Linked DNA regions of Neurospora crassa OR74A. The protein of the gene in region 2 interacts with the protein of the main gene of each other region in a pairwise test. Links are inferred from orthologs where the notes say so. Each region holds a gene or a part of one and is shown on either strand. Other genes may lie near its edges.

Region 1 (4,166 bases), on a different chromosome or scaffold from region 2:
TGGCTGGCACGACTGGTCGACTGGCTCACGCCGGCGAGGAACGAAAAAAACCACCACTACCAGCGCCACGGGATTGGGAGCACCATGAGCACTAGCTGATCATCACGTGCGGATTTTGGCGTTTCTTGGGAGCTGAGCCGGTGAAACGCTCCTGACTGCGGCACCGACTCCGGCATTGACTTTCGGCAGTGTGTGTGTGGTGATATCGATCACTAATCAACCGGAGAGTGAGAGCATGTCGAGTGCAACGGGCCGACTGAACAGGTCCGCTTCCAAGTTTTCGTCCGTCATCCGTCCCCTCCGGCCAAGGAACGAAGGAATGGCTGCTCCGATCCCAAACACAAGATTTACCGGCCGGCCGGCGTGGACAGACCGCAACACGGGTGGGTGGGTGTCCGACGGCGTAAAACGATAATAAAATATAGCGCTTTGCGCGCGACACAACGATCAACGTCAAGACACACAAAAAGGTTCAAAACACCAAGAAAAAAAACAACTTCTACGATGATGGAATGTGTGGAACCTCTGACGCCGCCCTAGTAATTTTGGTCATCTTCCCAAAGGCAGACAACATACATGGGCAGCTCTTATGGAGCCATTTGAAGAAATCAATCCCCTTCTTCTCCGCGTCGCGAAATCGCAGAATCACCATAGGACACGGTTCGAACCCCGACAGAATGCCGGAGCCGATGTGCATTTGCGATGTTCGGCACTGTCTGAGGACGCGTTGAAGAAAAAAAAAGAGGAGAAAAAGGTGCAAGATTGAAAACGACGGAAGGGTTTCTCTAAAATACTTGCGAGGAGCGGAGGAATTTTGGGTGGATCTGCCAGAGAAGCACAGACCTTTTCTTTTTTTTTTCTTTCTCGAAAGACGGACAAAAGTTCAGCTGGGGCCGATGGGAAAGAGAGTCGAAAGTCTGCCCCACTTCCTTCCATCGGAACACTTGAGTTGTTGGGTCTTGCGCCGACGACGATGACCTAGAGAGCTCGAGCAGCTGGACTGGAGACCAATTAACCCCGATTCTCTGATGATGCTCCCGTCACGGAAATGAAATGGCAGCATCATGATGGAATGGAAAATGTTCACCTTCGACCCTGCCAAGACTTACCAAGCCTTTCCCTCTTGGGTGTGGATGTGACTTAGCGAGCCTGGCAAGGCTACGGGGACCAGCTGACCGACAGCTGGAGCTGAAGAAGGTTCCACGTCGAGACTTGTCACAAAGGGGCGGAAGCTCGCTGACCACGAGTGCTTGGCATTGCTGCTTGGTGCTGTGAGCTCTGTTCTGGGCTGCAGTGGCATTGCTGGCCGCCAGGGTGTTCTTGGCCTGTGCTTTTCGAGATCTGGATGCACCATCGCTTCCATGTCACCACTTGTCGCGACGTATTGATAGCGACAACTGCACACACTCGTCTTCAGTTGCAGGATAGGTATCGTGGCTTGCCCGCGCTACACCTTTGATAAACAACAACGACTGTGATACTTTGTTTGCAGTTCTTGACCCTCAGCTCCTCGACAGGATTTCAACCACCTACGGCGCATGTTATAGCCCATTGACGAACCGAGTTCGAACTCACTTTTGGCGCTCGCGCCTACCATACTCGATTACCCCCCCTAATCGTAGCTTGCGCCTTGTATTACCAGTGCCCCTCCTCCGTTTCCGTCAACACCTTCTCCTCGACCACGACGCCGACGACGACAACAACAACTCTCTACACTCAATCTCCTCAGACAACAACAGACACCACAGCTTACCATGGCGTCCGCCATTTTCTTTCTAGATCTCAAGGGCAAGGTGGGAAAATGCTCATCTGGTGGTGTCGCAAAGTCCACAGCAAAGCATCCAAAGCTGACCGCCCAATGCGCCCTCACTTAGACCCTCCTTGCCCGTAACTACCGCGGTGATATTCCCATGTCGGCCGTCGAAAAGTTCCCTATTCTATTAAGCGAAGCCGAAGAAGAGTCGTCCGCCGTACCACCATGCTTTTCCCACGAGGGTATCAACGTATGTTATCTACAAGCCCGTCGTCGTCGTCGTCCACCCTGCTGCTGCTGCTGCTGCTGCTGCTGCTGCTGCTGTTGCGAGAACCTCTTGGGCCACAGATTTGCTGAACACTTTCTTCGGTCATTTAATATATATAGTACCTCTACATCCGCCATAATAACCTGTACCTTCTCGCCCTCACAAAACGCAACACCAACGCCGCCGAGATCCTGCTCTTCCTGCACAAGATCGTCGAGGTCTTCACCGAGTACTTCAAAGCGTTGGAAGAGGAATCGATCCGGGACAACTTCGTCATCATCTACGAGCTCCTGGACGAGATGATGGATTTCGGCTACCCGCAAACGACCGAGTCCAAGATCCTGCAGGAGTACATCACCCAAGAGTCGCACAAGCTCGAAATCCAAGCGCGCCCGCCCATCGCCGTCACCAACGCCGTCTCATGGCGATCCGAAGGCATCCGCTACCGCAAGAACGAAGTGTTCCTCGACGTGATCGAATCCCTCAACCTGCTGGTCTCGGCCAACGGCAACGTCTTGCGCTCCGAAATCCTCGGCGCCATCAAAATGAAGTGCTACCTCTCCGGCATGCCCGAGCTGCGCCTGGGCCTAAACGACAAAGTCATGTTCGAGACCACGGGGCGCACCACGCGGGGAAAGGCCATTGAGATGGAAGACGTCAAGTTCCACCAGTGCGTACGCCTGTCGCGCTTCGAAAACGACCGCACCATCTCCTTCATCCCGCCCGACGGCGAGTTCGAGCTCATGTCGTACCGCTTGAACACCCAAGTCAAACCCCTGATCTGGGTCGAGTGCGTGGTCGAGTCCCACTCCGGTTCGCGAATCGAGTACATGCTCAAAGCGCGCGCGCAGTTCAAGCGCCGCTCGACGGCCAACAACGTGGAGATCATTGTGCCGGTCCCCGACGACGCCGACACGCCCCGGTTCCGGACGAACGTGGGGAGCGTGCACTACGCGCCCGAGAAGAGTGCCATCGTGTGGAAGATCAAGCAGTTTGGTGGCGGCAAGGAGTTTTTGATGCGCGCGGAGCTGGGTCTTCCTAGTGTGAGGGGCGACGATGAGCACGGCGGTGGCATGACGGGTGGATTTGGTGGCAGTATGGGTGGTGTCGGTGCCCCCGGGAAAGGAGCCAAGAGGCCGATTCAGGTCAAGTTTGAGATTCCATATTTCACCACGAGTGGGATTCAGGTGCGGTATTTGAAGATTACGGAGCCAAAGGTAAGACTTTTTTTTTTCTTTCTTTACCCATGTTTCTTCTAGCACCTGTGGCTGCTAGTTACTGACGATTTGAAACAGCTACAATACCCCTCCTTGCCTTGGGTCAGGTACATTACGCAGTCAGGAGATATCGCCGTCAGATTGCCCGACGCGGTATGAACGACGAGGACTTGGATACGGGCAAGAAGAAGCCTTGTTTTTTTTCTTCAAAACAAACGACAGATCGTGGAACAGAAAACCTACAATTTACCTACCAGCTGGGTGGGGCATGAAAGGGAGCGGCCGCAGAACAGGTATTAATTCTGGCTGCCTCATTGAACACATTGGCCTGTCCTCAGTCCCTGCCCCCAGGTCGACGAGATATGCCCTACCCAGAACGACATCCCAGGTCGTGGCTCCGATGTACAGATGGGGTAAAAGGAGAGAAGAGACTTATGGCGTATGTATAGTAATGATGGCCCTGACACGACATGGATGGACTAAGTAGAAGGGAGAAGCGGTTGGTTTATAGGTAGATGATGCGTAGGTGCCACACACCGCAACATGACGTCCATGTCAAACAATATTCGATATAATATTTCTGCATGAACACAGTCCTGTCAAGTGGTGGTCGAAGAAGTTGGAAAAGTTGGACACGCGTGAATCAGATCAGTGTGCCCGGGTCGTCATCCTCGAGTGCAAGGATGGATTGATGGGCGGTCCTGATTTGGCATGCCTATAGCCACCCGTCTCCACCTTTACTGTGGAGGAACTGAAAAGGGAAAACAAATTATTTTTCAGACCCCCACGTGTACAGGAGACTGGCAACGTTAAAGGAAGACAGGATGCCAAAAAAAAAAAAAAAAAAAAAAAAAAAAAAAAAAAAAAAAAAAAAAAAAACCTTCTCTCGATGGCCTATGTTACCGTATGCAACCGATTTCCACGATAA
Region 2 (4,064 bases):
TCACCAACCCCAACTACCATGCTATTATAGTGACACCATACTCATCCAATCATGACTTCTTCCATCAGAACAACCCAAGCAGATCCTCGCTACCTCCACCACTCTTGGGAGGAGTCTGACTAGCCGGATGCCCCAGCTGCTGACCAGGCGGCGGCGGCGCACTCGTCCCGCTAAGATCCATGCCTGCAAACGAGCTCATCATGTCACCCATCCCGCCTGCAGCAGCCGGCGAAGTTGCAGCAGACGCCGACGGCATGGGCGGTGGTGCATCGAAAAGCCCCATGATATCCGCCATGCCGCCACTGGGTTGCGGTGGCGCACCGGGAAGACCACCGACGTTGGCCGGGCTGCCAAACCGATCTGGTGTGCCGACACCGCCACCGTGCTCTGCGCTGGCAGGAGCGCCGCCGTCAAAATCGATGTCGAGAAGATTCTCAACGTTGTTCTGCTGGCCACCTTTGGCAGCAGCAGCGACTGACGCGGCAATGGGGTTCTCGGCGGCGTTTTGGCGCTGTTCTTGGATGGCGGCGCGCTGGATCTCGTCGGCGCCGAAACGGCCCTTGCCGACGAACGACTCGGGAGGCTTGTGGTAGACGGAGGCGAGAGTGGAAAGCTCGGAAAGAAGTTGCTCGAGGAGGACGGGAGGGAGGGATGTTACTGTTGTCGTGATGGCGGGCTTTTGAGAGAGAATAATGCTCTATGAACGCAAGTTAGTCAATGTTTACATATTCAGGGGGTAGGAATTGTGACAAACCTTGGCAACATCGAGATCGCCAGAGAGGAGACGCCAGTAGATATAAGCACGGTCTCTGATATCGGGGTTGTCGTTGTCTGCCGTGGCTTGCTGGAGGACCTTCTGTACTAGGCCTTGGGTGTTGCTGGGTTTCTTCAGGAACAGCTTGACCACAGCGGTAAGAATCTGCAATTGGGTCTGCGTGAACTCTTCCAAGAAACCCTCGACGAACCCTTCCAGAATTTCATCGGCGTTGTTGATTTTCTCAGCATACTCTCCAACAATCCAGATCAAGGCACCCCTGGCGTTGGGCTCATCTAACTCGTCGATGTACTTGCAGAGAGTCGGAATGACACCTTCATATCCGGGATACTTGCGGAGGATGTCCTTGATGACGACAATAACCTCTTGCACAACATAGTTGACCTTGGTGGAGATTAGATCAAGCAACGCGTTGACGCACTTTTCGCTAGCGGCCTCAATCTTGATGGCGACCTGACCGATGGCCTTGACAGCTCTCCGGACGAAATCCATGTCGACTTCAAGGGCATACTCCTTGAGCTCGGAAAGTAGTTGATCAAAGTTCTTGTCGTTTGCTATCCTGACCATGATTTCAAGCTTCTGGAGCTTGACGTACGGGGGGTCGTTGTATTTGCAGAAGAATACCCTCAGCTCCTTGCTAAGAATATCGGGATTGGCTTGCAGCAGAAGGTCAATGTTGCGCAGCGCGACATACTGAACCTCAGGAGCAGAAGCGATGAGCGTTACCAGAGGAGGAGCCATCTTCTTCAGGTAAGCGCTCACTGTCTTGGGGTTGAGAGCCTTCATGTGGGTAAAGACGACCTTGACGGCAGCCAAAACCACGCTGGGGTTGACGTGTTGGAACTGGGGCGCTACTCTTTCGCAAATGTGTTCCGATTCCTTGACGTCATGGGCAGTGTACTCGGCTAGTGTTGTCAAAATGGTGACCCTCCCCCATTCCGTGCACTCGTTCAACGCCATAAGCAGCTTCTTTAGGGTCGCGGGTGTGAGGACAAGCGCCCTGGTCTCGGGGGCAGTTTCGTGGATTTCGGACAGGGCCTGGACGGAGTTGGCCACAACCATGGGATTGGGATCACCAATCATCTCTTGCAGTGTCTCCAGGAAGCCGTTCTCGATGCACATTGTGGGGTTGAGATCGAACAGTTTGGCGACACAGATGGCGGCGGTCTTGCGTACGTAGGGGGACTCGTCTCGTAGCGTCTTTCGTAGCGGCTCCTCCATGTAATCGATCATTTTGTCGACACGGATGCAGCCCATTGTTCGAATCGCCAGCGCTCGAATGAGGGGGTTCGGGTCTTCCGAGTCTTGTACGAATGTGTTGACGGCTAGAATGCAGAGATCGGGATGTGATTTGGCGTAGTTCCTGGACTCAGGGGTTAGCGTTCGTTCATGAAGGGGCCAGAGACGAGGGCAGCTGATGCTCACATCAAGTAGAGATACACCAGCTTCTTCTGGTCAAGGTCGGAGGTCGCAATGTTTTTGAGGACGTCCGGGAAGAGCGCCGAAACATCCTTGCCCAGGGTCATGGCCATGATGGTCTTCTGGATGGCTTCCTTCCGCTCGTAGGCATATTGGGACACAAGGCCGGCTCGCAGCTCGAAGGTTTCGCCCTTGCGCGGCGGCGCAAACGCACCCCTAATGCGGTTGATAGCTGACATTGCGAAGGCGTTGCTGTTCTGCGCGCTCAGGGAGGACAAGCAGTGGTGGAGGTGCTGACAAGGTCGAGATCGGGCGGTGAAACCTCGAGCTTTGACAAAGGAGATGGCGCCTCAACGGGTGGTCGTGGAATGGCGCATACACGGATGCTTTGGTATGTTGATCGCGTAGGTACCGGTAGTCGTGAAACAAAAGTGCAACCTGGCCGGCTGTGAGGCAGCGTGCTGTTGTCGAGGGCGTGCTCCAGCTTTGGATCAGGTCGCCGCGTCGTCGCTGGTGTCAGGACGGGATGGATCACGACGATGATGTGGACGGGCAGATGTCCAGTGATAGGTACGCGCTGAATAGCGGCCACTGTGGTTCAGCTGTGGTTCAACTGTGGTGTCCTCCAAGTCACTGCAGCGACAGGCCAGAGCGTCTTGGCGTGAACCTTGTTGTGAGTTGCCCCACTCACAGGGTCCTTCATTGCTAGCGAGGTGCCCCGCCGTAAAGGAGAGCTTCAGCCACAGTGCCGTCTTTGGGGCATTCGATCCCATCTGGCAGCTGTGGCTTGGCACTTGGCGACGAGGACGATGATGATGGTTGTGCTTGGCCGTGACGACGGAGGACCATCCACTCCCAGTACACTGGAGAAGCGACTGATTATTCGGCGATATTGCAGCTTAGACACATCCTCCCTTTTTTACTAGGACTTAAATCACCTTCCCATATCTTCAAAAGTACGACCTATCACCAGCATCAACGTCTCAAGTGTCAACTGGCAGAGGCGAAACAATGGTAATTGTCCACAAGACTAACCCTCATTGTTGAGATCCCCTAAACATGTTGCTAAGACTGAGAACCTTGAATCACAACAGGCCAACTTTCCCAACTTGCGTCGCCTCTTCATCGAGGCCAGGACGGACAGTGAAGAAAGAGACGTGTCCAGAAAAGCAGTACGTCATATTCCGGTGCTGCTGTTTAACCCCAAGACCACCTAACATGATACTACTAGTTCTACAACGCCGTCCTGTTCCTAAGCTCCGTCGCAGTCTTCAGCTTGATAGCTCAAAGAATGAACGCCACAAAGTAATTCCGAAACTGAGAACCTGCCTCCAATGTGCCATATTCTCCGCCCATTGCGTACCTTGATAAATAGTCATACAAAACCAAAAGGGTATAAAACATCTCGTTGAATCGTACACGCCCATAACATAACCATGAAGAAGTAGTGGTGATCCAAGACACTGGGTCTTGCTTGCTCCATATCAATCACCGTGACTTAATCAGACTCGCTCTCAGAGCCCAAGAAAGCGAAATCCGCCCTGTGCTTGGCTGGGCCTCTCACCCTTGCCTTTGGCTCCGCATCTTCTGAGTCGTCCTCGTCCTCGTCATCGTCATCTTCGTCGTCCTCTTCAACTTCATCATCATCATCGTCTCCATCTTCATCACCGCTACCCTCCTTTTCGGCCTTCTTCTTCTTCTTCTTCTTTTCCTTCTTTTCCTTCTTGTCCGCTCCATCCCCACTTTCGTCCTCTTCCTCTTGATCTTCAGAGTCACTTTCAAGCTTCAGACTCTTCACCTTAGCCGCCGCCCTCCTCCTGGGCCTCCCGCCATCACCCAGTCCCCAGCTCTTCTCTCCGTCCTTCACGGC
Region 3 (4,182 bases), on a different chromosome or scaffold from region 2:
GGGGTTTTTGATGTTGTTGATGTTGATGTAAGTTTAGCGTGAGGAGAAATAGGGGTGACGATATCGTCATATATCGAGTGATGTCCTGCTGTTTAGTTGAAGTGAGGTTCAGATCAGTTTGGGAAACAAAAAGTGGGAAAAGTGGGAGGAGGGACAACTTGGATAAATCCCATACATGTAGTGTATGATGTTCTTTCCAATCCATCCGAATTGAATCCAAGGGGACCGCCGGTTATCGGGTCGGTATAGTGAGTGTACAGCCATCATGCTTCTTCTGTGTTCAGCTTGGCTCCAGTCAGTCCTCTTGTTGGTCATTGATATGTTCCCTTGGTGCCCCGGCTGCGGTCTCGCTTTCCATCGATGGCTCGTTACCTATCTGACGTTCCTTCCAAGCCGTGCCATCAGGGCCAGAGCCGGTTCGCTGACGCTGACAGTAACAGGTGGGTGGCCTTTCGGGTGAGTGGCCTGCTTGCGCCAGCCCACGTTGGCCTTGGCTCGCTGGGGATTGCTGGGGTCGACCCGCCTAAACCCCGGTCATGCGCCGCTGGCTCCTCGAGTCGGGTGGAGTCGCACCCCCTAAGTGATCGGCGTTCCCTTGTCACCACCAAGTCTCCATTCCCACTCACTCCCCTCCGCCGTTCCGCCTGGAAGCCTCCAGTCAGTAATCGCAGTGCGTTCCACTTCCTGTGTGTCAATGTGTGTCCCGGCCTGAATGCTGCTCATCAATGTTAATTGTCAACCACAACCACCTGACGAATAGAGTCGTCTCAACCCTCCACGAGCGTTGCTTCCAACGTCGATGTGGACAAACCTTTCCTTGGTGGGCATCAAGGTAACGCCACCCCAACGTCTCCCGAGCGAATCGATCTGTTTCTGCGCATACACCCGATGTGTGAGGTCATGAACAGATGGATCGGTGTTGGCAACGCGTCGTTGAATCGTTGTTATCATTAAGCACATCGCCGAGGCCATGCCCAGTGTACCGGATACGCATTCCACTTGGTTTCCTCCCATCATCGTCCATGATTAGGACACTAGTGGTGTATCCGGTCTCCGAGTGGCTCAGTTTTGGCAGCTCATTAATCTACAATGCCCATATCTATATGATTAAGGAAAGGGAGTTTGCTCCCTCCTAATGGGTGACTGTAGCCCCGACTTCCTGCCACCACACCACACTCTGCTTCCCCTTCTCTCGGCGCGATTATTATTGTCCTCCCTGGTTGCATATGCTGTACTCTCGTGCTTCGGGTCGCCCCTCTCGTCTGTCCATCCGGTGCCGTCACCTATCGGAGGGACTGTGGTCGCTACCACAGCTTCAGAGAATCCCGGCCTGCTTGAGTGCGTTGTTTATTTCTTCCAAATCCTGCATCAGGAGGTAAAGGTATGCATTAGCGTATGCTGTTGGGGTAAATAAATGTCGACCATTGGCAATCGCAAGTGTTTGAGGGGACCCGGTTCGGTCGGTCGTGATGATGGAGAGAAAAAGACACCACAAAGCTTGATCAGCCTTTACATGATCTTTGTGACTTCATCCTCGACCTGAGGAAGTGCAATAAACGTGTCAGTGAGCGCGGTGGTTTACGGATAGGGATTGCAACAAGGGGGGGGGGGGGGGGGGGGGGGGGGGAGCGTGTAGGCGTAGCGACGCGGGAAGAAGGCAAATTCTGTCCGGGCAAGCGGTCACGGCTCCAAGTCAAATGCTTGTACGCACCTCCATGTCCTCTAAGGCGTCTTGTTGCGATATGCATCGTAGGACATTCTTCTTGCTGCTTTCCTGCAACTCTCCCGCCAGCAGGAGCTCGTCGAGGATGTAGTAGGCTTTGGTAAAGGAGAAAATGATGTCGAGCTCGCAGACGTTGCCGTAGTACTTGTCCATCTGCTCGACATAGCGATGGATGATCTCGAGGGTGATCAGCTCGTTGTCCTCGGAGGAGCATCCGGCGATGAAGAAAAGCGAGGCATATCGGCGGTAGACAATCTTGGTATCTGCAGACGAGCAAAAAGACAGTTAGTTAGCCCTATGTTGCGATCCAGGAGAATTGGCGGAGCTTGCCTTTGTATTCGAGAAAGTTGCACATGCGAGTCCTCCTAGCCAGGACAAGCTGGGAAACGTCCTTGACGATCTTGGCCTTGTCCTTGGGAGACAGAGTGGTGAACCATTTGGCCAGGCGCTGGATATTTGACGTGCGGTTAGTCGGGAGAAGGACAGCGTGGTTGGGGACGAGAGCAACGCCCGCGGCGGGCAAGACGCACCACTTTGCCCTGGCGCGAGAGGAGGATTAGATAGCTGCAGAGCTCCGGGTCAGCTTGACTTCATTGTGAATAGCAAGATGGCGACTGTCGGGCGCATACTGAATAGCCATGATGACGATGATTCCATCAACTACCCGGGATCACGTTGAGCGGGAGTCGACAATGTGATCATGGAGGTGTTGTCACGGGCGGGAAATTTGACAAGGACACCACGCCGACAGCCTGGACTCCTCCCGCCTGGAGCTGTCCAAAGGGGCGGGACGACGGCCGTCCAATGTGCCTGAAGAACCAGACCCAAGGCAAGTGGGGCTCTACCCGATCCTAGAGACTATTAGTGCATCTGGCACTTCTCGTTTTCAGAGGCTTCTTTAGTGGTCTTATAGTGGATGATGTGCTCCTGAGTTGATCGAGGCTTAACATGGGAGTTCGTTGATCGTCTAACTGTCTATGTACCTAACGACAATTGAGTTGATTGACTTTTTATCTTCTGCTGATCCCATGTTGCTGGGCAAACCACTTAACGCACACAAAATCTCAAGGACGGATCAAAAGGGAAGCCCTTTTCTCATTAAACCCCCTCAGTCGTAGCGGGCGTCTGGTTCATTTTTCTATCATCTTCTGCCGGCATGACTCAACTAGTTCTCTTCCTCAGTGTTGGTGGCTGCAACAAGCGAACATGACCTACTAATCGTGGGAGAAGTACAAGGCTCCCCACGTTCACCGGGCAGTTCCTCACCTAACAAGACATCCCGTTCCTGTCAGACCTTCTGGTTGGCTGTTGCTTTCTTCTCCTTCTACGGCATCCCGCGCATATCTACACCAAAGTGTGGTTGAGAACGCAACCGACAGTCATCAGATGCCGAAGCTGGCATAGCTGCCGTTGACATTCTCGGCAATGTCCGCGACGTGCATCTCCGACTCTGACAAACTTGCTTGAGAGTCCGCACTTGTTCTTGCTCATGGCGCCTTCCCTGGGAGTTGCGTGTAGAGCCATGCTTCACCTAGCGCAAGGTCAAAATCCGAGAGTCGGATGATGACCTCTCCGATTTATGGTCTGCGGACATCCCACATTGCGAAAACTCCGTCTAACCTCTATCCTGGGTTATGTTCTTGGTCGACGACGGATATTCATACTTTTCCAAACTGATGTTCCCCTGTGTCGTTACAGCTGCCTATCTCTGGCAACACCACCCTACCATCGGCGTTTGTGGTGATACATATCATCACAAGCTTACAAAAGGTACCTTCATACTCCCGAATCGAACCACCCCCGGACCCATGCCAGTAAATCATTAATAATCGGTTCTAGGCTCCATTGAACCAAATAAGTCGTACCCCACTATCTAGTCCAAAGTTCAAGAGGTAGAGAGATTCGTCTTGCGCCTGGCCAGCGTTTTAACTTTTTTCTACCCATTTCCAAAAGAAAAGAAAAAAAAAGGTCGTCAACATCCTTAGCAGTCATGACCAAGTTAATACTTTCTACCGGGTATGTCCGTCCTTCTCTTCATTGTGTGGCTCCGGTCTCAAGTATGATGGTGTAGGGCAGGGCAGGCCATATGGTTTGTCTCTTGTCCCTAGCTGTGCGACCTCGCTCGAAAATAGGCAAGATAGCCATCTCTTAGACCCAATCACTAATTGCGTGCTCGAACTTTTTTTTCTCCTTCAGAAACATCATTTCCGGCGGGCCCTCCATTGTTCGCAAGCCCGGCGCATCCAACCTCGAACTCGTAAACTCTCTGAAAGTCAGCTTCCAAGATGCGCAACTAGACTACGCCGACGAGATTGAGAACCTGAACGCGAATGGAACGACGAAGACGACGACGACTACGACCAATGGCACCAGCAATGGCGTCCACGAAGCCACAAATGGCGATAGCAACACTACCGACCCCGTAGCAGGCCCGCTCTACTGGACGGCGCAAGACCAGA

The links. The genes of interacting proteins can lie anywhere in the genome.
Region 1: the proteins of NCU09721 (region 2) and NCU09688 interact in binary tests that used the Saccharomyces cerevisiae proteins (3 or more experiments, as listed by UniProt). The link is inferred for Neurospora crassa OR74A from reciprocal best matches to the Saccharomyces cerevisiae genes APL2 and APM1.
Region 3: the proteins of NCU09721 (region 2) and NCU10618 interact in binary tests that used the Saccharomyces cerevisiae proteins (3 or more experiments, as listed by UniProt). The link is inferred for Neurospora crassa OR74A from reciprocal best matches to the Saccharomyces cerevisiae genes APL2 and APS1.

What each region holds. Positions count from the first base shown.
Region 1 is NC_026505.1:834,213-838,378, reverse strand, and holds NCU09688 (AP-1 complex subunit mu), read left to right. Parts: upstream 1-1,362; 5' UTR 1,363-1,754; coding exon 1,755-1,793; intron 1,794-1,874; coding exon 1,875-2,003; intron 2,004-2,140; coding exon 2,141-3,238; intron 3,239-3,316; coding exon 3,317-3,397; 3' UTR 3,398-3,823; downstream 3,824-4,166. UniProt on the Saccharomyces cerevisiae protein: Component of the adaptor complexes which link clathrin to receptors in coated vesicles. Clathrin-associated protein complexes are believed to interact with the cytoplasmic tails of membrane proteins, leading to their selection and concentration.
Region 2 is NC_026507.1:1,361,007-1,365,070, reverse strand, and holds the start of NCU09721 (AP-1 complex subunit beta-1), read right to left. Parts: upstream 2,802-4,064; 5' UTR 2,434-2,801; coding exon 2,201-2,433; intron 2,139-2,200; coding exon 755-2,138; intron 698-754; coding exon 65-697; 3' UTR 1-64. Other genes in the region: NCU09722 (hypothetical protein), read right to left, coding at 3,693-4,064. UniProt on the Saccharomyces cerevisiae protein: Adaptins are components of the adaptor complexes which link clathrin to receptors in coated vesicles. Clathrin-associated protein complexes are believed to interact with the cytoplasmic tails of membrane proteins, leading to their selection and concentration.
Region 3 is NC_026505.1:1,564,224-1,568,405, forward strand, and holds NCU10618 (AP-1 complex subunit theta-1), read right to left. Parts: upstream 2,805-4,182; 5' UTR 2,364-2,804; coding exon 2,353-2,363; intron 2,288-2,352; coding exon 2,254-2,287; intron 2,172-2,253; coding exon 2,054-2,171; intron 1,987-2,053; coding exon 1,712-1,986; intron 1,540-1,711; coding exon 1,510-1,539; 3' UTR 408-1,509; downstream 1-407. Other genes in the region: NCU04596 (gamma-cysteine synthetase regulatory subunit), read left to right, coding at 3,714-3,739, 3,920-4,182. UniProt on the Saccharomyces cerevisiae protein: Component of the adapter complexes which link clathrin to receptors in coated vesicles. Clathrin-associated protein complexes are believed to interact with the cytoplasmic tails of membrane proteins, leading to their selection and concentration.